5 linked regions of the Xenopus tropicalis genome follow. The protein of the gene in region 2 purifies or fractionates together with the protein of the main gene of each other region. This does not show direct contact. Links are inferred from orthologs where the notes say so. Each region holds a gene or a part of one and is shown on either strand. Other genes may lie near its edges.

Region 1 (4,885 bases), on a different chromosome or scaffold from region 2:
GAGAGAACCAACTATGCACACTTATGTTGGAAAGTAGGAAAGTAAAAGGATGGTAAAAAAAATTATAAGTTGAGTAATATTTTTATTGTACTTAGTGTAGATGACCAAGATGAAGCCCTACAATTTACCTGAAAGTTCTGCTGCCCACTTGTCAGAATCAGCATATATAAACTCTAGGTCCGGAGACTCCGAATAGCCCTAAAATGAACAGAAGTGCCATAAAAAAATAAACAAAAAAAGAAACCCAGTGCAACAATTTTAAATTTATTTTATCATTCAAGTTGGCAACAAACAGCTAAAACACTTTATGGCATATTTATGTTTTCTGTCTGCACACATAAAAATAATTACAAAAGGCATGTAAATAGTATCACCAACAAATGGTCATCTTTGATGTATACTGTAGAACAATAAATCATCAACATGAAGACTGCGGTCTTGGAAATATGATAGTTCACAGGAGAGACTGGGAGATGGACCAGTCAAATTGTTCTATCATTATCAGATTGTTAGATTATACCCAAACAGTCAAACTAACAACAATTTTCAGACCTTCCCTTTAAATCAAATAACTAATATCTGTGGTAAGAGGATGTCTTATCTGATCATTCTTTGGACACAAAAGCCCAGAAAGTCATAAAAAAAAACCTTTTATCCAAAAACATTGGAAGGCTAACGGCTCTGGCACACGGGGAGATTAGTCACCCGCGACAAATCTCCCTGTTCGCGGGCGACTAATCTCCCAGAAATGCCATCCCACCGGCAAAAATGTAAAAAAAATGTGAGTTTCCTCTCAAGGCAACTTCCGCGATTTCAGTGAAAGCGCGCCGCCGCTTATGCCATCCCACCGGCGATTTACATTTTCAGGGAGATTTGTTGCGGGCGACTAATCTCCCCGTGTGCCAGAGCCCTAAGGGTGAAGACACACAAGGCGATTAGTCGGCATAAGTCTTTAAAAAGTCGCTGCGATTTCTCTACGCAGCGAAAACCTGTGTGCTATTAGTCGCAGCAACATATACAGGATCCTTTGAAGGGAAAGTCGCTGCGACCATTCGCCCTAATGGCACATGGAATGTTTTTTTTCCCCATTGCTGTAGATACACCAGCAGAGAAAAGCTGATCTGCTGCCTTCTGCCCCCTCTGTGTGCACTTCTAGGCAAGGGATATACCTGTTCACTCACAGAGAGCAAATACAAATACCTATTATTGCATTTCCACGCTGAATTATGTGTGGACAGCTTTCAATGCACTTGCAACTAGTCACAGAATATGACTGCACTCTTGGAAAGAAAAAAAAAATTATAACTTCGAAAGATATCAATTCTTTCTCATAAGACTGATGCAAACAAAACCATATTTCTTAGTAGTCTGGGAGATTTAAATGTAATCAGTTTTGAGACCTAACTTTATTCATAGATGTTCAGACACTGTACGTGTTACACCTTTTTTCCTCAAAGGCTAATTTGCTTAGGTAATATTTTCAGTAGCTCTTTTACTTAACAGGGAAAACAATGAAACTGAAAGTGATTTCATTTTGCAACCTGGTTCTTTAGAGTAACCGTGGAATAGGGTCACATTATAGCATAACACATTACGAGAGCAATTGTAAACCCCAGGTGATGAAGCAGTAAACACAGACCAATAAAAAAAAAAAAATCTCACTAGTAAAAGCAAGGCCATGCTAGGAGATCTTTTGCTCATTGAAATATTTTCATGAGTACCCAGGGCCCTCTACCCTCAGACTAACTTTCAGGCATTTTCTGTGAAACCATGTGACAGAGTGGTACATTTTTATACTATTTTCTTAAGTCTGAATCATGTTTACAGCCCAAAGAATTCTCTCCTCAGTTACTTTTACAATATGCACAGCTGCTCCCAAATACCATTTGTTTGTTCCACCCTGAGAAAGGTGCAAGTGGTGAAATCTTAGCTTTGCATTAAATTCAACTTTTTGAATAATACATGGGCATGATATTTCCAGGAACACTTTAGGGCTCATTTACGTCCACGAGTGCAATAGTGGTCCCCAGTTTCCCCCCAACCAGCTGCACCTAGCACCACTTTTATGTTCTCCTTCCTACCTTCCGTTCCAAATTGAGAGCTGCTGCACCAGGGGAAGCCTGGAGCTGCCACACACTTGCTGCACCTAAAGAATCAGGTACAGACCAAACAGTAGAACTGACGCCAGCTGGATTTTGGCGCAATTGCATCCAATTTTGGGTACACAGTTGCAAATCAGATACAACTGCAATAGACAGAGCAATTGTGCCAGGCGTATCACTCCACTGAGAACCACAATGACTCAAATTCTGGGGGAAAAAGCAACATTTTTTCAAAAACCTGCAGCAATTACGCTCAAAACTGCACTTTTCTCACTACATTTGCAGAGGTACATGTGCCTTTCTGTCACAGCATCTTCCTGCAGAACAGGAATATAATGTGTGATTCTAAATGAAATGCTCAACTTTCAGGATGACGGAGATTTAATTAAATATTTTTGATAACTATAGGTTATATTAACATGACAGCAACCACGAAGAACTATAATATATATTTTTGGTGAACAGTAAAACTAAGACAAGTCAGCAGTTTAGAATAGTTCGCAAAACTGATGTGAGATTCCTTTTGGAATGGGCTTTTTAATCAGGTAAGAACTGTCTTGTCTTCCTGTCACAGGTTCCCCAGACATACCCCGGTCACTAAGTAAGCATAAAAGCTGGCACACAGTTACATTACAAGGGTAATTCGAGGATAACTGAGTACTAATCAAACACAAATGTTAATGCAATATAGTTATACATAACAACCACTTTTACTCATACCTCTGAATCCTTGCGCTGTGTACGGTTGTACTCTCGTCCCTTGCCCGGTTGGGGGCTGCCAATTACCGCACCACCGATTCCTGTTCTCATTTTGTTGTTGACAATCAGAGAACCGGAAGCCTCCATCTTTCTCAGGCGACGCCCACGTGACGTGACACCGCCGTCTCAGTAGAACATTTGCGGTGGAACGCAAAGCCCAAGGCGTGTCTGTTTCTGCTTTCCAAACATCGCGATAGTATGAAGAGTCTCGCCCTTTCTTTGACAAACTGGGCGGCTTATAGAGACTGATGTATCGGCACCAGTGTGATAATCAGTGTTTTGTATATTCCTGTCTACATAACATGTATTTTATTGCTGAGACCTGCATTTATCTATATATCTAACCATGTATTCTCTGCAGTTACAGCGATGTTTGAAAGCCGGCTACCCTTAAAGGAAACGTTAACTCTAAATACATTCATGTAAAATTGGGCTTCTTGCCACTTTTATTAGGTATTCATAGATTTTAAGCTGGTAAACGTTTTTACACAGCTAATGCGTCTAAATTGAAATAATAGCACCATCTGCTGGTCAGTTCTATCAACCAAACTACAGTCAGAAAATTTCAGTAGAAGAAACTCTTGTAACGTTGTCAGAGTGCTTATACAATTGAGCAAAAGGAAGTGTCCAGATCTAGGGTATGAGCGCTGCAAATTGTGCACCTGATGTTTCTAAAAAGTAAAATTGTAAAATGAGGCAACACACATTAGCTATCCATAGATAAGTGAAATGCACAATTTACATTTTTAAGTTATCTAAATGGCCCCTGATAATGGGCAATCATTATTGGAGTACACGTACATCAGCAGTCAGGTGTCCTGAGATGAAAAGGCATGATTCCAGGTTCTTAAAAGGGATGGGGCTTGTGGATGAGTGGGCAAGGTTTTGTTGGAGTTTTGTCTTAAATTAAGCTTAGAGACAGGTTAGAACACACTGTATAGGAGGGGCAATTTTTGTTTCGTTGAGGCCCTATTTTACTTGAGACAGGGCTTACCATTCAGGGGGCCTAGGTGTCCATCAGACTATTAATTGGGACCCCCTGGTGAAGGTGGAGATCCCTGCTAATTTAGTAGGATGGGGCCATAGAACATACACCCTAGTTTGTAATTACAGTGATGAGAAAAAGTATTTGCTGCTCCATTGTTTTACCTGGTACTGCATATTTGCAAAGCGAGTTGTTTCCGAGTTTAAATGTAATATTACACAAGGGAAACTGAGCAAACACAAAGAACAGATTATATATATATATATATATATATATACACACTTAGGGCCGCTTGAGAAATCATGAAGCCCCCCACAACAAAATTTTCTGGGCCCCCCTCTTCTCATGTGCCCGCCCCCAGTGACCCCTCCCATCAGTACAAAGGACACACATACATTGTTAGCATTGCTGGCCAGGGCCCCCTAAAACATTGATTTACAAGTACATTAGAGGGGATTATAGGCAGATGGGGGATGTTCTTTTTTCCCATAAAAACAATCAATGCACCAGAGGTCACCCCTTTAGATTAGAGATTATTTATAGTTTATGTATGTGAGTGTATAGATTGGTAGGTGTGGGTTAGGTGTGCTGGGTTTACTTGGATGGGTTGAACTTGATGGACACTGGTCTTTTTTCAACCCTATGTAACTATTGATAGCCAGGGACCCCCTAAAACATTGGTAGCCAGGGCCCCCCTAAAACATTTGTGGCCAGGGCCCCCCTAAAACATTTGTGGCCAGGGCAGGGACCCCCTAAAACATTGTTAGTCAGCCCAGTGCCCACTAAGCGTAAAATTTTACTTTTCGGCCACCAAGGAAGATGCTATGTCTGGGGCAAAACCAACATCCCCACATCACCCCAAGAACACCATCGCCACTGTGAAACATGGTGGTGGCAGCATCATGCTGTGGGGATGTTTTCCAGCAGCAGGGACTGGGAAACTGGTCCAAATTGAGGGAAAGATGGATGGTGCTAAATACAGGGACATTCTGGAGCAAAACCTGTGTCAGTCTGCCTGTGATTTGAGACTGGGTTACAG
Region 2 (5,031 bases):
TTGTCAACATCAGTGACCTGTAACAGCAGAAACCAAAAATAGGTACTTTCCCCCTTTTCATTTAAAGGACATACAGGCTAATAGTAGTTTAAAGTCAGAACCACAAGTGCACAATGTATAAACAATGAGACACTGCTTTCGATAGTGGATACATTTACAAATAACTTTAAAATCACTGAAAACCTTTAATAAATGAGTATTATGAAGCTGCTTAGAATTACATTTTCTCTCATTATGCAAAAGACTGATTTTAGGTGCAGTTTCCCCTTTAAGTGTAAATTCTACCTACTTAGCTTGAGCTCTTCAAGTTGCATTGTCATTGGAGTAGCTTGGATGGAAATGACCTTTGAAGTATAAATAACTAAGAACAAATCTGCATAAAGGAGGCAACCCATCACTGCAACATGTTTACATAATGGAAACTCAATGTCCCAAAATAATTCTATATGTTAGTATTTGGCCTACATATGCTCAACCAGAATTAGCCATAATACCGTTAAAGGTGGCCATACACGGACCGATTTTTTACTTACAAACGACCGATTCCCGAACGATCCGATGCTATCGTTAAGTTATCGTATAGTTGGTGGTGTACGAACGATCGTCGGCCCACTAAACGAGCCGACATTATCGTCCCCAAAATCGATCGGCCAGGTTTAAAAATTTTGGTCGTTTAACGATAAAATCTGCCAGTTGGTGTGAGTGTCAGACATTTGTCTTTCAACGATTGTTCTCTGCGCATGTCACGATTGCAAGCAGCGGAAGTCAACGACATCGATCGTATGTAGATGTACGATCGTAGGTATTTTACGATAATGATGCGACAAAATCTTTCCCGAATTATCGTTGCCCGTGGATGGCATATCGTATGGGAACTCGATCGCCATACGATCGTTTGTCGATATAATCGTTCATCGCACAACGAGCGAAATCGCCTCGTGTATGGCCACCTTAAGGGTGAAGACACATGGAGCTACTTGTAGCAGCTACTTGTCAAGGCTACTAAAAAAAGACAATGCTAATCATTTATTGATAACGGTCTCTACGTGTGTTTTAGCAGAGGCAATTCTCAGTATTGTCTATGGCAGGGGATTTTCAGGAGTTTAGTAGCCTTGAAAAAGTAGCTGCTACTAGTAGCTCAGTGTGTCTTCACCCTAAAAAAGGAGGACTAAATCCAGAGTAGTTGTCTGACATTAAGCACAACAGAAAAGCCCTCATGATCATCCCTCAGCTGCATTAGTGTGCAATAAGGAACACTCGGGCCCCCCTATACCTTGTCTGCAGGGGTCGGCAGCCAAAGCACATCCGATTTCAGACTTTATTGTGGAGATAACCAGCCAGAGGCATGCATGCTGAAAGCGCATCTGTTTCTGGCTTCCATGCTCCTGGTTGGTGATTACCGCCATTTCACCTAAAGCCGAATGTGATTCAGGGAGGCCCTATTTGGTTTTGTTTGTTTATTTTTTTTAAACCATACCACCAATGTGATTATGTGCTTAAAGTCAGACAACCTCTCTGGGGGGTTAAGTTCGCCTTCAACCCTTGTTCATTTCAATGGCAATCACCAGACCTGTAAGGGCACGCATGGCACTTGGGTAACAAAACACCCTGAATACCCCCCTGTGCCAATACCCTAAGGGGTGCAGCTGGACAAAAGATATTGAAGTTTGCTTAACCAATCATTAGTCAAATGATCACCTGGCACACAGTACTCTCGGCTCAGTAGGAAACGGAAGGCAGCAAATGGAAAAGAGCCGAGCACCCGCAGTGCATTACCAAGAAGCATGCTGGAACCTGGATACAACCCAAGACACCCAGTCAGTCGGAAACTTCCTTTGTCTACGTGCATGTGTACTATACAGCCATAACCTGGCCCAGAAATCCTTATCCTCTATGCAGATAACCTATTTATTGATCTACCTGGTGTATCCACAGCAGAAAAAACACACGCATACCTACCCATAAATTCCTGTGTGTGTGTTCTAAACCCAGACTCAAACTCAAATTGCTGTTTAACTACAAATCCCAGAATTCCCAGACAGCCTTTGGCTGCCAAGACATGTAGCTCATTATCTATAAGTGAAGCAGGCCAGATGTAGGTGGCCTTACAACAGGTGTAGTACTACAACTCTCAACTTTCCAAATAGTCAAAGGTTGTCAGGAGAGGTGGGAGTCAGTTCAGCATTAGATAACTTTAACCTGTCACAGCGCAAAAGTTCTTCTCGCCTTCCAATATCCATAGCGTGCATGGCAGGGGTGCATGACCTCCTTCTCCTACAGCAGTGATCCCCAACCAGTGGCCCGTGAGCAACATGTTGCTCCCCAACCCCTTGGATGTTGCTCTCAGTGCCCCCAAACCAGGTAGTTATTTTTTAATTCCTGACTTGGGGGCAAGTTTTGGTTGAATAAAAACAAGATTTCCTACCAAATAAAGCCCCTGTAAGCTGATAGGGTGCATAGAGGCCCCTAATAGCCAATCACAGCCCTTATTTGGCTCCTCCATGAACTTTTATGGTGCTTGTGTTGCTCCCCAAGTCTTTTTACATTTGACTGTGGCTCACGAGTAAGAAAGGTTGGGGATCCCTGTCCTACAGGATTATAATGATACCCCCGGTGCAAGCAGCTCTCAATATACCCTGTTACTACTCAAATAAAACTTCCCTGGAGTACATACACACAGGTTTCAGTAAGTCAGAGATACAAGTGACATCACCAGGCACCAATCAGAACTGATGACATCACTAATAACAAGCACTAAGACAGGTTGTACATATCTGCTGGATAATACAGTGACAATATCTTACAGATGTTTATCTACACCATCCTCCCCAGGCCATATTCCCTCTCTGCCCTGCCCAGTGTGGCCAAGGGAAATGATGGACTGGTATGAATGCAGTAAAACTATACAAGGGGAGGGAGGAGGCAGTACCTGGCCCACAGAGCTGACAATCGAATGGGGAGAGGAGCTCATTAAGCCTACAGTTTCCATTCCTCACCAACTAAGAGCAGAGTGAAACCCAGGGTCACATCCGCATCACGTGATGAATTTCCAGGCCAGTGACTGGCTCTGCCAGTGGACTAGAGAGCTTACAGTCTACCCGGTCTCCTGTATGAGGGCCGCCAATGGTGAGCTGTAGGCGCGACAGGGACAGACGCAGCAGGTTTCGGAGCCCCACCACAACCCAATTAAAAAGACGACAGTCGCCTGGACATCACAGCTGTCAGTGTATTTATGACGAGCAGGACTCTCACCTGACTTTATCCAGCAGCCTCCCTCCGAGCCCCGCTCATCTCCCCCGGGACCGGACCCCTCGGTGCCGCTCGTCCGGTCCCTCCCGCTCTCGTCCGTTTCTGTGATGTTCTCCAGCTCGGCTCCCTCCGGTCGTTTCCTGTAATGGCGGCTCCGGAGACCGAAGCAAAATAAAAGCAGACGGGAACTGCGTGACGTCACTAGGCACCCGGGGCCGGCCAGCCATGCGATAGGCCTAAACGCACGGAGCAGCCAGCCAATAGGAGGTTCCGTCTTAAGCGGCTGGGCCGGTGACGTCATGAGAGCGGCGAGTGAGAGGAAAATAACAACAAGAGCGTAGAGTGACAGGAGCTGGGGAGAGGCGCTGCGGCTCCAGTGTGTCCGGCCCACAGCCCTGATTGGCATGTATTACTATACAGGGACGGGGATGCGGAAAGGCATAGAAGGCCAGTTTGGGGGTGGAATTTAGATACAGAGGATTTATATTATATATATATATATACTTGTTTTATGCAATAGGACAGCACCCTGCCATAGAACAAAACGTGGTGCACGTCCCCAACAGGTTCCGATATCCTTGCACATACAATAAGTTCAACAATGGACAGCACACACTTTAACGTGCAAAAGGTATATGAAAAGATCAAATTCATACCCGGCCGGGCTCCAAACGTCGCATTTTGTGTACAGTATGAATTTGATCTTTTAATATACCTTTTGCACGTTAAAGTGTGTGCTGTCCATTCTTGAACTTATTGTACAGGTATCGGACCCCTTATCCGGAAACCCGTTATCCAGAAAGCTCCGAATTACGGAAAGCCCGTCTCCTATAGACTCCATTATAAGCAAATAATTCACAATTTTAAAACTGATTTCCTTTTTTTATGTAGAAATAAAACAGTACCTTGTAATTGATCCCAACTAAAATATAATTACCCCTTATTGGGGGCAGAACAGCCCTATTGGGTTTATTTAATGGTTAAATGATTCCCTTTTCTCTGTAATAATAAAACAGTACCTGTACTTGATCCCAACTAAGATATAATTACCCCTTATTGGGGGCAGAACAGCCCTATTGGGTTTATTTAATGGTTAAATGATTCCCTTTTCTCTGTAATAATAAAACAGTACCTGTACTTGATCCCAGCTAAGATATAATTACCCCTTATTGGGGGCAGAACAGCCCTATTGGGTTTATTTAATGGTTAAATGATTCCCTTTTCTCTGTAATAATAAAACAGTACCTGTACTTGATCCCAACTAAGATATAATTACCCCTTATTGGGGGCAGAACAGCCCTATTGGGTTTATTTAATGGTTAAATGATTCCCTTTTCTCTGTAATAATAAAACAGTACCTGTACTTGATCCCAACTAAGATATAATTACCCCTTATTGGGGGCAGAACAGCCCTATTGGGTTTATTTAATGGTTAAATGATTCCCTTTTCTCTGTAATAATAAAACAGTACCTGTACTTGATCCCAACTAAGATATAATTACCCCTTATTGGGGGCAGAACAGCCCTATTGGGTTTATTAAATGGTTAAATGATTCCCTTTTCTCTGTAATAATAAAACAGTACTTGTACTTGATCCCAACTAAGATATAATTACCCCTTATTGAGGGCAGAACAGCCCTATTGGGTTTATTTCATGGTTAAATGATTCCCTTTTCTCTGTAATAATAAAACAGTACCTGTACTTGATCCCAACTAAGATATAAATAATCCTTATTGGATGCAAAACAATCCTATTGGGTCCTATCGGTACTTTGCGACTTT
Region 3 (5,041 bases), on a different chromosome or scaffold from region 2:
AGAGCACAGATGTCTAAATACAGACTTTCAAGGGTCTAAAGCTGGCCATTCACTGAAAGATCCACTCATTTGGCAAGGTCCTTGAGGTGAGCATTATCGGATTGATCCAATCGTTTGGTCTTCAGACCAAAAGATCGGATCACATTACCGGTATAGAGGCTGTTGGGACAAGAACTGCATCAACACACATATGTGCTCCTTGTCCCAACAGGATTTTAAATCTGCCCAATCGATATCTGCCAATATTCGGCATGGTATTGGCTGGTAGGCCCATTTGAGGGCCCCATACACAGGCTGATAAGCTACAAACTTGAATTGGCCCGTGTTGGGGCACCTTAACTGGCTTAAAACAGACAGGGACAGATTCCCAGGCGATTAATTGCAAATGTAATACAGGGGATAAATAATGCAATAAAGGGAAATGTAATAAAAGTCGGTAACAGGGAAAAAAAATTGCAACGTGACAATGTGCAAACAAAATTGCAAATATAACATGGCTTTTGTGAAAACAGAAAACTGTTTAGTGACCATTTGTGAGTTATTAATCTAATGAGTTATTATGTCTTTTATGAATGGGCTTTGGTCAGCCAGGCAGATCCAGTTCCACACTATAGTCTTAAAAGATAGATGCATGTGGTAAGTGAATCTTGTATGAGGGCATTAATGTGTTCCTCTCCCAACAGGCCTTATATGCCTCTGTTATGATCCCAGCCAGATGAGCCTGATTTGGCCCAGCATGTAGTTGGAAAAATTGGGCAAGATGCAAGGTGGCCACATGAGTGGATATTTAGTATGCCCAGCTTGATTGTGTTTCTGCAGTGCTGCTGGTCCTGTTCCTAATCCTGTTATTTGTTTGGTTTTTAAGGGGTTCTAATCTGATCCCGATTCCTTGTTCTGACACTGCCACTCATGTTGGTCAGTCTGTTTTGTGGTTGTTAAACTAGTTACACTGCTCCTGACCTTGGCTTATTTTTATCATTGTTTTGATTATTTTAGGCAATGAACAACTTGATTCATGATATCATTAAATGTGTTGCATATTGGGGGGGGGGGGGGGGTCTGTCCATGTACTGAATGAGATTCAATATTTGGGCCTCAGTTGCCAGGATGGAATAAGAACATTACTTGCACCATAAGATATATTCAACAATGGGCTGTCTGATGACTATATGACTCAATGTATGTTGCTGGCATCTTTTTTAAAGGAAACTATATCTCTGAACATTGCTGGTGTCCAGGGTCAGACTAGGCCAGCGGGGCACCGAGAAAAAATCCAGTGGGCTACAAGCACCTTAATAATTTCTTTTATTAATGTTACATTTTCTAATATGACATTTGTTAACAATTTGAACTAAAGTTGTATTATCCTTTTGTACTTTGTATCAATATTTTAAATGGATAATAAAAAACTAAAAAATGAGAAAAGAAAAAAAAACCTTGCATAGAAACTAGCATAGTCATAAAAAATGCGTTATAAATGTGTAGTATTTACACCAGATTTTTACACTTTTTATTCATATGTTTTAACTTTTAACAGACTTTGCCACTGTTAGAGTGATATAAAATGATATAATCTGCATACAATCTGGCAAAACTCTGATGTACACATTGTTTTAAATAGCTGCATCCAGAACTATTACATACAGACGATGCTTGCAAACATGGGAACTCTTGCTTTTTTAACAATGTTTAAAGGAGACATATAGTATAAATTGGAAAACCCTAATTTTGTAGGCAATTATGAATAATATACGGTGCTGGTTTCCCTTTGGGCTAAACATTAATCCTATCTGTAACAATGGCCCCTTTATTGGAGCTCCCTATAGGTCGTATCACTTCTCCCTCCAGTGTGAAATGAAGAGTGGGCGTGTCCTAACGGTCCCTGCCAGAAGCACAGTAGGAGGGGGAGAGCCAATCACAGTCCTGCAGTCACACAAGCACAGACAGGCTTCAGTTCCCTATCAGGTCAGCCTAGCTGCTGATTGGTTCCTATCCTACAGTGCAGTGTACGGAGGGCCGCCGGCTCCCCAGCTCATCCAGAGAATTCAGCCAGCAGGAAGTGGGACAGATGGGCGGGGCTAGTGGGGTTTTGGTGGAATTTCTCAATAAATCAGTCAGAAACACAACTTTTTTAGCACAATCCTTCTATATCTAGAGGAGTATAATTCTCTGGTACATTCTTAATTTTTATAGGATATGTCTCCTTTAAGGGGTTTAGGTTAATTAACAACAAAACATTTCAAAATAAGCTCAAAAGCTGTTTAAAACATATTTTTAGGATAGATTTGAAATTTTGAGAGAGAAACTGTAATCCTAAGCAAGATGTTTCCTTTCATGTGGCAAATGTGTATATTTGGGTTTTTATTCCATTTATTGTGCCCAAGTAAGCAGTCAGTCTTGTGTCAGTCACAAGCAGGCCAGCTATTGTTCCTGTTAATACAGATAGAGCAAACATACCTACAGGTCCGGATATTCAGGATATACCTGCTGAGAGATTCACTGCTTGCAAGATACCAACACAGTTACAATGTACAGCACATTTACACCGCAGCCACAATCACATTTCATTTAACATGTTCAGAAAGGGAAAATATAGAACGTTTGGGAGCTTTCCAAATGTCTCTTCCTGTAAACCATTAATGGACCAGACTTTATCACTGATACAAGTCACATATTTGAGAATGAAAGTAATTGTACGAACACTGACCCACCCCCTATACACAAGTAGCTTATCAAATTAACAGTGTAAGTAGTACTAGAGCCACCGCACACACAAGCGCTACACGTTAGTGAGCTGAATACTTCTAGTCTACTTTTATTCTACATCTCCTCACAGAACCCCGGCTCTCACCTCCATTTCTGCATCAGCAGGAACCGCTCTACTTCCGTCTTCGTCACTAGAAACGTCACAAATTAGCAGAAACCCCGCCCCACGGAACGCATCTCTCAATATCTAAACGCCTCCCCGAAGCAATTGGCTGGCATTGACGCGTAGAAATGGTACGCTTTATTAGTATCCGTTTCCTTGGCGTAAATAATTTTATAGTCTATGGTAAATATTAACGGAGGGTGATTAACCTGCCTCTTATTCTGGTACCAGCAAAATGGTTGAAAACTTACCTGTGTTCAAAATGTTTGCATAGAAATGAAACGTACTAGAAAAATCGCAATTTAGCCACTTTATAACAAATAGGGTTTACTATATCCCCTTAGTCATATTTAAAGGACATGTAAAGCCACATTTTTCTACCATGTAAATAAGATGGGCACATCTTCCCACCTATATGACACCATTTATACTGCCTATCCCCTCCTTTGCCAATACCATAACATTTTCTTAAAATAAATAGCAGTTTTCACCCAGTGGCTATTTTCGCTATGACACATTGTTAGTGACATTTACATCTGCAAATGCATATGTCCACTTCATGCAATGAAGAATGCAGGCTTACACAGGCAGAGCTTACTTTGATAAAAAGCCCTGTTTGAATTGAGCACTGTAATGGTTAAGCTGAGCTCAGGACAGGAGGTTAGAAGAAAAAACATGTTTCTCCAGCAGAGGCACAGCTAGACCAGTGTTTCTATTGAAGGGAAGACAGATGGACAGAGTGGGGAGAGCTGGAACAGGGAGGTCTCAGCAGGGAGCAGAAGGGGGTAGCTGGGAGAGGAAGGACAGATGGAGCGGGGGAGCTAGAACAGACAGGACGCATTGGTGAGTGGGAGGAGCAGGGGGAGAGGGAGGACAGATGGAACCAGCGGGGGAGCTGGAAGAGAGAAGATGCAGGAGAGGGATGATGCAGGAGCGGGCACTAGTTTGACCCAGCAGGGAGCTGGAGCTGAAGGGGGGGGGGGGGGAGAGAGACTATAGGCTGCCCCCCCCAACAGTCTGACGGACCATGAATTGGTCCCTTACTTTAAAAGTTTGAGGACCCCTGGATTAAAGAGATGCTGCAGCCCTACTATTAACCTTTGAATAACAGGAGTGGCAAGTATTTAAAGATTCCAAAGACGCTGTTCACTGATTACATTTTTGTGTGGGGGTTTACATATCCTTTAATGTTTGATGGCAGACTAGATTTGTCACCCAAGGTAAATCTGTGCAACCACAGGTGACAAAATGGGTCTGTTGTGATTTATGTATTTTAGTATTTTTATACACAAAAGATTTTTATATTTTTTTATATAAAAAGATTAAATAAAGATTCAGTTGTAAACAATTTTTCTCTTCTGTTGCCAGAATAAGATTCAGGTTAATCACCCTACATTAATAGTGTTTCTGTCCTCCTACTTGTATATAAATGTTTTTTTGACCTTGGTGCAACTGTGGTATGGATTGTGGTGCCTACCTGCACACAACTGGGTGCATACCTCCCAACCGTCCCGCTTTTAGTGGGACAGTCCCGATATTTATAGCACTGCCAGCTGTCCCGGATTCATTGTTAGATGTCCTACTTCTCAGCATTGCCATTTAATTGATTGCTGTGCCTGCTCTGCTCCGGGGAATTGGCCCTGGTTATAACTTGGCAAATACACAGAACTGTTGGCATGTCTGAAGTTGATATGCCCTTTATCAGTTTCATTTAGTAATTTTACTGGGATGTCTGTGGTTAATATGCCCTTTATCAATTTAATGTAGTCATACTGGCACATTTGAAGTTAATATGTCCTTTATTCTTTTTATTTAGTGGTTATACTGGCACATCTGGGGCATGTAAAGTGGGCGTGGTGTGTGGGGTCGTGGTCACAAAGCAGCCGTGGCCAAAACATTTTTGCCGCACTACTCGCGTCACATATTTTTGTCCCTCTTTCTCTTAATGAAATGTTGGGGGGTATGTGGGTGCTTTTCAGATGGAAGTGTGCAGGCTTTTCTTTTTGTAAATGCATAGTAAATAGGCCCCTAGGGTTCCACGATTTTAGATTTAAAGGTTTAAAAAAGGGGAGAGACAACTGGAATATAGAAACTCTTGGATCACTGGGATACACTGCAGAGATCATGGGATTAATTTGATTAATTGTATTTGTTTTTTTAAACTGCAGTACC
Region 4 (4,880 bases), on a different chromosome or scaffold from region 2:
AGTGTTTATAATACAGGTAACACTTGTCAATTGCAATCAAAAAGTGCAGAAATATATTGAAACCTAGCATTTTTTTAAAAAGATTTCTGAATAACCATTTTCACCTTATCAACTGTCTATCAGGAAAATGAAAGCCCAAATGACTAGTAAGTGTAAAATGGGCCTAACAGCACAAACTTTTTAGACCTTTCTTACTAACAGAGTTAAATTTGGGAAAGAACTGGTGAATGAAAAGGTTTGTACAAGTTGAGTAGCTGAAAGCCTCCTGGGTTTCCAGCAGCTGTTGGGTCTTCTCTCTCTATTGTGACTGCCCTGGATAAGGTTATAGCATATGGTGTCATAAAGGCTAAGTGTAACACACTGCTGCTGATTCCCAGCACATGGACACCCTGTTGGACACTTACACTTTACTGCCAAATGGGAAGGATCATAACTGTTTCTTTGAGTTTTACAGAAGTTTAGATACAAAGTAACTAGTAATCTGATTGCAATGGCAGCATGGAAGTCAGGACTAGAATTGCTAACGGCTTGATCAGAAGCGCCGCCTTTTGCTAATGTATCTTTGTAACATCCAAAGGAACTCAAATAGCAGCAATATTCTGCACAAAGGGAACACAAAGTCATACAAACTGGGCAAATGCCGAGCGAAACACAACTAATCAATACTAGCCAAAGTCAGAGAACCTCAGAGCCTTGTGAGCAAGGCAGATACATCACCTGCTTATAGAAGGTTGCAGTTCTAGATTTATAAAAATTCTCCCAATTCTCCTAAATGTGACACTGGCTACATGTAGAGCCTGCCAACCCTCACCATGTGCCTTGCTTTCTAGGGATATAGAAATAGAACTAATCAGTATTAACAAAGACAAACATGCCATATTACAATAGAACCCCTGATTTTATGTACCTGGATTTAACATTTTCCCATTATTGATAGTTTTTCAGTTTTCCCATACAAGCAAGTGGCGTCTTGTTCCCCCCCAGATTTTATACCATTTTGACACCATCCACTGGGACATGTAAAATCGGGGTTCCACTGTATCCTGATTAGGCTATTCATTGTCAGCCACTGAAAATTAAGCAACAATTAAGCTATTCTTGATTGATATAGTATCACAAACATCTTAGTGAATACCCCAGTTTCAGGACAGTTATTCACATACACACACAGTTAGCCAACATAATAAAAGGAGCACCACCACCAATCAATTCCAGCGTACTAGCACTGGGATAGAAACAAAAGCTCATACATGGCCTTCACAATTACACATACCTACCTAAGTCAGTAGTTAAAATGTGAATAGAGTTTTTATTCACTGCACTTAATTATAACATGTTTAATATAGGGTTTATAAAAGGTATGGGCAGAATAGACAAGAATGCATAGGATTAGATCAAACAATGTGTGGATTAAAGTAAAGTTGCACTTGAAAATAAAGGACGGGCATTTTCATTACCTGTGAATACAATAGGATCTTAGAACAGGATGGACCTGTGCAACCAATGGAACACTTTATAAGTTTAAAGACCTATGTAGAACAATCTGCCTGGCTCAGACTGGGCACTAGCCCACATATAGGCTATCCTCACTCACTGTGGTGTAGCTCTGCTACTTTGAGATTTGGGGAATAAGTCTAATACAGCTTACAATCCTATCTGTCACCCTGCAAGCCCACTGGGGTCAGCATGACCTGGGCAGCTGAAGTGAGGCAAATGAATGCCTGCAGACAAGATCACTAGGTGCCGGCCCTGGGAATGACAGGAGCAACAGGGCAGTCACTTGGCCCAGTCATTACAGTCCAGTTACCCACTGTCACTGCTCTGTCCTGAGCTGGAGAGGAGAGACAGGCCTTCCCCAGGGGGAGGCTGCTAATGGGAGCAGAATGTCGGCCACGTAGGCCCCTATATAGATAAAAAGAAAGGTTCCATGGCATTGCAAGAAGGTTGGGCTCTCAATATGTGGGAGGGTTGTCCCACCTGGGCCCTATGAACGCTGCAGAACTACAATTCCCAGCAACCCCTGGTCAGTGGTGGGTGGGACGCTAAAACCCAGCTAGAGGGCAACAGATTGCCCCCCTGATCTGTATAGGGACAATATCTGACAACTGTTACACACTTGCAATTCTTCCCCACAAGGGAGCCATGAGATACTGGGGGTCCAGAGCAAATGCCCTCTCTGCCCTACCCTAAAAGCGAGCCTGCCAAAATGGCGACCTGAAAGTAACCGAGCAAGGCCCCGCTTCCTGTCACTGCATTCCCCCTGGGCACCTGTGCCGGACTCCCCGCAGCTCATACACAGCCGGAGTGTGCCGGGGGTGCGGGGAGATGTAGTTCAGCTGGGAATGAGGAAAGGCCAGAGACGGGTGCGAGTCTGTAGGGGGCGCCACACTGCCATCCCGGTGGGGCCCCCCGTCTCTCCCTATTGTTCCCCGGACCCCTCACCTGCAGCTCGGCCTTCTCCACCTCCCAGTGCGCTCTCTCCATCTCGAAGCGGGCCCACTCGTGTTGGATGTAGTGCAGGATCCCGGGGATAGTGTACTGAGGGGGGCGGCTGGCTAGCTCACAGCCAGGCTCAGATGGGGCTCCCTGGGACTGGGCCGGACCCACGGCCTGCAACCTCGGAGACGCGGCCATTCCTCCGGCCGCCGGGAGATCCTCCATCCCGCCGCTACCAACCCTCTCGCAAGGACTCCGCTACAAGTGACGCGTCCCGTTAGGGGGCAAATAGCTCCCCGGTGCCAGTCAGGAGAGAAGCAGTGAGATGGAGCGGCCGGTAACTCTCGCCCCCCCGGAGGGGAGCCCGCCGCCGTCCCGTCTATAAGTTGCGCACAAGCGCACTCCTGATATTGCCCATTTGTTATCTGTCACTTCCCCCCCGGGGTCCGGTAAGCTCCGCGGGGCACTCTGGGAAACACCGGCCTCACACACCGCCTCCCGCTGACAGCGTCAAGGCGCATGCGCGGGCCTAGCGGACTGACGTCACAAAGGCAATATGCGTCACGTGATCCCCGCCCCGCCCAGAGGGCTAGTAGTGACGTAGTTCCGCATGGAATGGTGACAGCCGAATGCTACCGGAAATCATTGTTGGTTAGCCGGCCGCTCCACTGATGGGATGCTCCCGCCTTGAACGGGTAACCGGCCGTCGCTTTCAGGTTTCGTTGAGTGGCTGAGAGATTTTATTCGCCGGCCCCTGGAGCCGTGATCTAAATAGAAACGTGTTTTATCAGCCTGAGGAGGGTTTAGCAAATGGGGAGCCAATTAGATTCACTGTGCACACACTACATACAGTATGCATACAGTAGCAATGGCCACCTCGTATCTACAGTGAATTCAGTAAGCAGCTTCTGCCTATCCTTGCCTGTGCCATTGTTCTCTCCCATAGCCTGCAGCCCGCTATTCCCTAGGCTCCATGTGAGTTTCATGCCAGTATAAATACGTTGCAATAGTATGACTTGAGGCTTGGGATACCGGCAGCTTGTTGGTGCTGGCCTGAGAGTGTTCAGACAGTAGGGACTAAAAAGTGGTAAAGGGATGGGGCAGAAAGAATGCCCTTAGTCTCCTCACTGGCCCTGCAGATAAATGTCAGTGTGGCCCTTGGTCACCATGGCCACTTCCCATTCACAGGCAGGGGGGCTCTTGAGTTCAGGTATTGTGGCTGGCCGGAGGTACCCCAGTCCAACACTGGTCTTATTTCTAAATATTCTCATTTAGAAATGTGGTCAGTAAGCTGCAAGTTGCAGCCAATCAGAAATCCCCCTATCTGTATCCCACCAGATCCCTGTAGTTTCAGGCTGATAATAAGTGAGCTCCTATTTCCACCTTACACCTTTATGCTGGTGTTTGGTACATTTCAGTTCAAGATAGTGCTAAATCCTCTTGCTCCATCAACAAGCAAGGACCTTAAACCATGACACAAGAGACACCCTTTGTTGCCGCTATAAGCATCTATAGCCTGCATTGTACATTAGGACATCTAACCTGATGTTTTATATACATCCTTTCCAGCTCTGGATAGCAGCTCGTCTGTAGAGATGATCAAGTTCTTCCTCATTGTGAACAAGCAGGGACAGACCAGGTTGTCAAGATACTATGAACGCATGGAAGTCCAGAGACGGACACTGCTGGAATCTGACGTCATCAAATTGTGTCTGTCACGTTCCAAGGATCAGGTGAATACTGCGTTATGGAGGTTGTAGGATAGTGACAATCCCTGCCTCCTTACCTCCCCTTTTATCTGTTTAGATGGAGCCTACCCTTATTTTCCCTTATGCACACACTCTGGGTAGATGTTGATATTGCCTTATGGAGTGAGGCAAAATATCAGGCCTAGCCCAAAGGTATGTAATCAACACACACTGTTTGTTTACATTTTTAGCTGGATGGGGCCCAGGCTGCTTTATTGTTAATACCCCTGTGTAAATATTACCATTGTGCCTCTTTGCTACTCCTTGGCAGTTAATGGCAGATTTTACTTTATACATTTATTAAGACCCTCACAATTGGAGCAATAGCAATGATCAACCCCAGTAAAACTTCTCTTGATCTTTTAATCTTTGGATTTTCTTATGTTCTCTCTCCTAGTAGAGAAATAATACTTCTTATCCTAATTCTTCTCTTCCCATCAGTGTTCCTTCATAGAGTACAAAGACTTTAAGCTGGTGTACAGGCAATATGCATCTCTCTTCATTGTCGTTGGAATCGATGAATCTGAGGTAAGGTGCTGGTTTAAATGCTTAAAGCGATACCAACGTGTTCCTATGAAAATGCATAGGAACATATCAGCATTAGTAAAGAGTTGTGTCATGAAAATATTTGTAGCCAAAGTCCCCTAAAGCTGTTCCCAGCCACTCCAACATGGCTAAAGGCTCCTCAGCAGTTGT
Region 5 (4,694 bases), on a different chromosome or scaffold from region 2:
GGCTACTCTATGCTTGCTTTCTACTTTTTAATTCTAATGAGCTTAGGTCCCCCAAATATGTCTCCAAGCTACTTATCCATGCTCTCAGACTAATATTTTAATGTTTAATTTTTCTCCCTCCTTAATGGAATCAGAATAGGAAGGGTGGTCTGAGAAACCCTATCCACAATCAATTTCCATACTACCCACTACCGACTAGAAACTGACCTGAATATTTCATGCGCAGCTGTGTAATAACAGCAACCAGTTTTGTTTCCGAAGATCCACTTATACTGTTGTAGGCAGTCTTTTTCGGCACGCCGCCGCGTGTGCCATCCCACCGGCGACTTACATTGTCGCCGGTGGGATGGCAGGTGAAGGCAACTCGGGGAGATTAGTCGCCAGCGAACAGGGAGATTTGTCGCGGGCGACTAATCTCCCCGTGTGCAAGAGCCCTAAAGGAGAAGAAAAGTCATTTTGGCATTTTGCTGCCAATAGATTTGCCACAATAGTGCCACCTAGAACACTATATTTATTCTGCAGAAAGCTTTATCATACCTGAGTAAAGAGCCCTAGAAATCCTGTGGTTTTTTTTGATAGAGGACTCTGTGAGTGCTTATGGCTGTATTTACATAGACCTTTTTGATAAAGCTTACTTAGTTTTTAATTTTCCTTCTCCTTTAATACGTGTTTGTAATATAATATACTTAGTAGCAAGTAATGCTGGTATTATAAAAGTAGTTGGCATAAATAATAATTCTTAAACTGTTAAACTATTTTAAAGCACAAGAAATATAAGCTTTGCACATCTATTCAAAATGTCCACCCATAAACTTTTTTTTGCATAAAAGAAAAGTGAAATTCTAACCAACTAAACAATTTACATTAATATAAACAATTAAAACGATGGTTTTAAAGATATGTGTACATGTAATTCCAACTTAGAGTAGGTTCTTTCTCTCCTTTTCCTGGCTGGGCATACCATTGCAACATTGTATCATCAGTCAATTCTTCTCAAACCAGTACTCCAAGAGTAACAGAATTGAACAAGGAATAGTGGGAAATTGAGTTATGATTAGAGAGGACCTGCTTTCTGATATATTGTTTCTGTATTCAAATTAATTTAAAATTATAAATAATGTTTGATATATATAATGGAAATTTAAAAGGCACCCAGGACTATTTCCAGGAAGAAGGGTTGCAAAATGCTCACAACCCCCCTTGTAATTGCAGCTTCATAGACTTTCAGGGTAAACACCATTGCCCTACTGGTGTGATCACAAGTCAAGTAATTATTGCTCTAAAAAGGTTGACTGACAGACATTAATGGCCCCACCAACAATCACACCATCAGGGTAAGGGAAATACCCATGTACATCTTTGCAGCAGCAATAGTGAGCATTTTTCCACTGAGCTGGGAAATAGCATAGGCAGTATAACACATTATATTGCACCGTGTCCTAATGCAAGGATATATGGACAATTGTGCAGAGAGTAATCATTTGTAATGCAGTAATTTTGGTGGAATAACCAATCCATAGTTGAGGGGGAATCTAGTAATTTATCTTTCATATGGCAAATGGGCAAAAAATGGAAAAAAGCCACAAAATCTACAAACTGTGTGTCTTTTTCTTTGGCTCCCTTACCAGCTACTTAGGTGGCCAGTTTATTGTCACTAATAATGTGCAACTTGTTAAGCATCCAGCTACAACATTTACCTGCAGGGAACAAGCCTTTATTCCTAATCCCTTTTGAGAAAGAAGGATCCAAAAAAATCTTATTCCTAGTCTTTCTTGAGAATCCTGGGGTCTATGAAAGGGTAATATTTTAAGATTAATATTTTAGTTTCTCCCTGAGCTCTAGGTTAGGATAGTGTGTAAAGTAAGCAGCAGTAGACAGGCTGCTAGAGATATCCTACTCTCTTCCATATTTGGGGGTTATCAAAAGATGCTGCCCCCCCCCCCCCCAATAACACTCTGGGCTTACTATTATGGTGGGGCTCTGGTACAGGGAGTCTGCCCTGTGGAGGGGACTTAACTGCAGACTGAATCCCCATGTCCTACCATCTTTCTGGGATATCCCTTATGAAAACAGGGTAATAAATTACACACGTAACATTACTAATTGAAATAAAACCCACTGTCGTCATACAGCTAATACAATATTGATCATAACAAGCGAATCCCTGTGCTCAAGCTGCTTAGTCTTCTATTATTTATAGACGTCTATGATAGTCAGCATAGAGACACAGCTCCCCTGCACAGCTGATGTTACATACACTGAGAGCCAGCCTTCTCATAGAATTTTCAAATCTCCTATTCAACAGCAGTGCACACAATTAGAGGAGCGCAGTTAGACAAAACCTATGCGACAAAGCTAATCGCAAGCACTGGAAAGGAGGCGCAGATCCAAGCGGCTTCCCACCATTCCTAGGAAGTGCAATTGGGAGGCGGAACCATATAACCATCACTTGACACATTTTATTACATAAATCCCTAGGCACGCTCGCATTATACAGCACAAGAATCAGGCTTAACCAATACACGTCCCCATATATTATCCCTGCAAGAATCAGGCTTAACCAATACACGTCCCCATATATTATCCCTGCAATCAGCTGCGAACCCCATTTGTGCAGCCCTCGAATGCACCTCTCTGTTTCTTACTAAAGCCAGAAAATTGTACGCCAGAAGCAGGAATCAATATCGCTCTAATAAACCAGTGACAGCTCCTAAGACTCAGAGCTAAAAGCACATCGCTCCCCCTGATCCCACTGCCGGGGCAGCACTTGCATGGAGTAACTGCAGTACAATGAGGCGCTTACGTTATCCGTGTCCCCTTGGGCAGTGCAGAAAGGCTCAGCCTGCTCTTCCTCACTCCCCTCCACCGTCGCCATCTTCCAGCTGCTGAGGACTGAGTGAGAGGAGCCAGGGAAGAGGAGAGCAGCCGAGAGGACAGCCCCCACCAGTAAGCCCACACTTAACCCTCTGCCTGCCCGTCAGAAGCACACTTACTCCTCCTACTCCAGCCCGCCAAGAGTTAACTCTCAGTTCACCTGCACATTCCTGCTTTAGCGGACTGCCAGCACACGTGACCCTCAATAATACAATACTGCAGTTCCCAGTATCCATAGTAATCGCTTTAATTCATATTGTCACGACTAAATGCAGCAGAACACGGCTACTTAACTTTACTCCAGTTAGCGGGCAGGTAGTCTGGCAAATAAAACATAGTTTTAAATACAACCCACGTCATAAACTTTAATCCAAAGTCAGTGTGGGCAAGCTAGGGGCCGAACCGCTTTGAGGACCGTGTCAGCCCTTTGGTCCTCATATTGGACAGCCAGGCAATAAAACCCAACGTCAGCCTACTCGTTGTATGAAACTGATATAGAAACTAAAGTGCACATACACAAATCACTCCCACACCAGTGTCACTAAAAGAGATTTTATACTCACATACAACCCCGCAGAAAGCAGGTGCAAAGATTGCCCTAGTTCCAGTAACCCATAGCAACTACTGTAAGATACAAGAGCTGGAGAACATTGTGTGTCTGTTGTTACATAACCCCCTTTATGATTAATCAGTACATTGCCTGTACACCTGCCTTTATTTCAGTTCCCTGCCTGTCTGTCACAAATACAGCAACAGAAAAGGATAGCAGTATACAGGTGCCTCTTCTAGTCTGTCCCCTCCATACTCCTATGCACTGATTTATCTGCCTGGGTCCTGCAGGCATCATCTTGTAAGTGTTTGGTACATGGAATTACCTTATAGGCAATTAACTATTCTGAACAGGACTATGTTTTTGTTCCTATGTTTGTGCAACAAACGATTTCTGGTTCATACAATTTGTTTGATGGCATTAAACTCATTAGACATTATTTCCAGTCAATTAGATTTGATATCAACTTGCTTCTCTCTATCTGCATTATCTTCTTTGGGGCTCTGAAGCTCCTGTTTTTCTTGTGACTGCTGTCTGTAGAGGCCTAGTTCTGCACAACCATAACTAGAGAGCAAGATGAGTGTTCTGATACTGCTGATTGTTTTTACAATTATGCCAATATTGAAGTAAACCCAGTATAAAGGTGTCGATTCCCATCATTTAATTGTTTGGCCCTTGCCAAATGAGCGGATCTTATGACGTATGGCCACCCTAACTAATGAAAAAATCATAGTTTACTATGCAGTAACAATTTGTTTCTTGTTTATGGTGCCCTGAGAACAGCATCAATTTACAGTATTCTGAACCCAGAGACATATCATATAAAAATTAAGAATATACCAGTGAATTATACTCCTCTAAATACAGAAGGATTGAACTTAAAAAGTTGTGTTTTGGACTAATTTATTGAGAAATTCCACCAAAACCCCACTATTCCAGCTCATCTGTTCCACATGCTGCTGGCTGAATTTTCTGGATGTGCAGGGGAGCCTGTGGCACTCAATACACTGCACTGCAGGATAGGAACCAATCAGCAGCTAGGCTGACCCGATAGGGAACTGAAGCCTGTCTTTGCTTGTGTGAGTGCAGGGCTGTGATTGGATATCCCCTCCTAGTGTGCTTCTGGCAGGGACCGTTAGGACACGCCCACCCTTCATTGGAAACACAGACAGAGAACTGATAGGATCTATAGGGAGCTCCAATAAAGGGGCCATTTTACAGATAGGAGTAATTTTTAGCCCAAAGTGAAACCATCACCATATATTATTCA

What was found.
Region 1: the proteins of zranb1 (region 2) and strip1 purify together in Homo sapiens (affinity purification with mass spectrometry; 4 studies listed by BioGRID and IntAct, with this or other methods). This does not show direct contact. The link is inferred for Xenopus tropicalis from reciprocal best matches to the Homo sapiens genes ZRANB1 and STRIP1.
Region 3: the proteins of zranb1 (region 2) and gcc2 purify together in Homo sapiens (affinity purification with mass spectrometry; 3 studies listed by BioGRID and IntAct, with this or other methods). This does not show direct contact. The link is inferred for Xenopus tropicalis from reciprocal best matches to the Homo sapiens genes ZRANB1 and GCC2.
Region 4: the proteins of zranb1 (region 2) and strn3 purify together in Homo sapiens (affinity purification with mass spectrometry; 4 studies listed by BioGRID and IntAct, with this or other methods). This does not show direct contact. The link is inferred for Xenopus tropicalis from reciprocal best matches to the Homo sapiens genes ZRANB1 and STRN3.
Region 5: the proteins of zranb1 (region 2) and cttnbp2 purify together in Homo sapiens (affinity purification with mass spectrometry; 3 studies listed by BioGRID and IntAct, with this or other methods). This does not show direct contact. The link is inferred for Xenopus tropicalis from reciprocal best matches to the Homo sapiens genes ZRANB1 and CTTNBP2.

The regions. Positions count from the first base shown.
Region 1 is NC_030678.2:72,084,329-72,089,213, reverse strand, and holds the start of strip1 (striatin-interacting protein 1), read right to left. Parts: upstream 2,956-4,885; 5' UTR 2,949-2,955; coding exon 2,823-2,948; intron 199-2,822; coding exon 129-198; intron 1-128. UniProt on the Homo sapiens protein: Plays a role in the regulation of cell morphology and cytoskeletal organization. Required in the cortical actin filament dynamics and cell shape. Part of the striatin-interacting phosphatase and kinase (STRIPAK) complexes.
Region 2 is NC_030683.2:20,384,928-20,389,958, forward strand, and holds the start of zranb1 (ubiquitin thioesterase zranb1), read right to left. Parts: upstream 2,953-5,031; 5' UTR 2,930-2,952; intron 1-2,929. UniProt on the Homo sapiens protein: Ubiquitin thioesterase, which specifically hydrolyzes 'Lys-29'-linked and 'Lys-33'-linked diubiquitin. Also cleaves 'Lys-63'-linked chains, but with 40-fold less efficiency compared to 'Lys-29'-linked ones.
Region 3 is NC_030678.2:109,427,726-109,432,766, forward strand, and holds the start of gcc2 (GRIP and coiled-coil domain-containing protein 2), read right to left. Parts: upstream 2,956-5,041; 5' UTR 2,858-2,955; coding exon 2,852-2,857; intron 1-2,851. UniProt on the Homo sapiens protein: Golgin which probably tethers transport vesicles to the trans-Golgi network (TGN) and regulates vesicular transport between the endosomes and the Golgi.
Region 4 is NC_030684.2:113,226,510-113,231,389, forward strand, and holds the start of strn3 (striatin-3), read right to left. Parts: upstream 2,956-4,880; 5' UTR 2,662-2,955; coding exon 2,443-2,661; intron 1-2,442. Other genes in the region: ap4s1 (AP-4 complex subunit sigma-1), read left to right, coding at 4,032-4,169, 4,626-4,712. UniProt on the Homo sapiens protein: Calmodulin-binding scaffolding protein which is the center of the striatin-interacting phosphatase and kinase (STRIPAK) complexes.
Region 5 is NC_030679.2:68,648,998-68,653,691, forward strand, and holds the start of cttnbp2 (cortactin-binding protein 2), read right to left. Parts: upstream 2,956-4,694; 5' UTR 2,876-2,955; coding exon 2,804-2,875; intron 1-2,803. UniProt on the Homo sapiens protein: Regulates the dendritic spine distribution of CTTN/cortactin in hippocampal neurons, and thus controls dendritic spinogenesis and dendritic spine maintenance.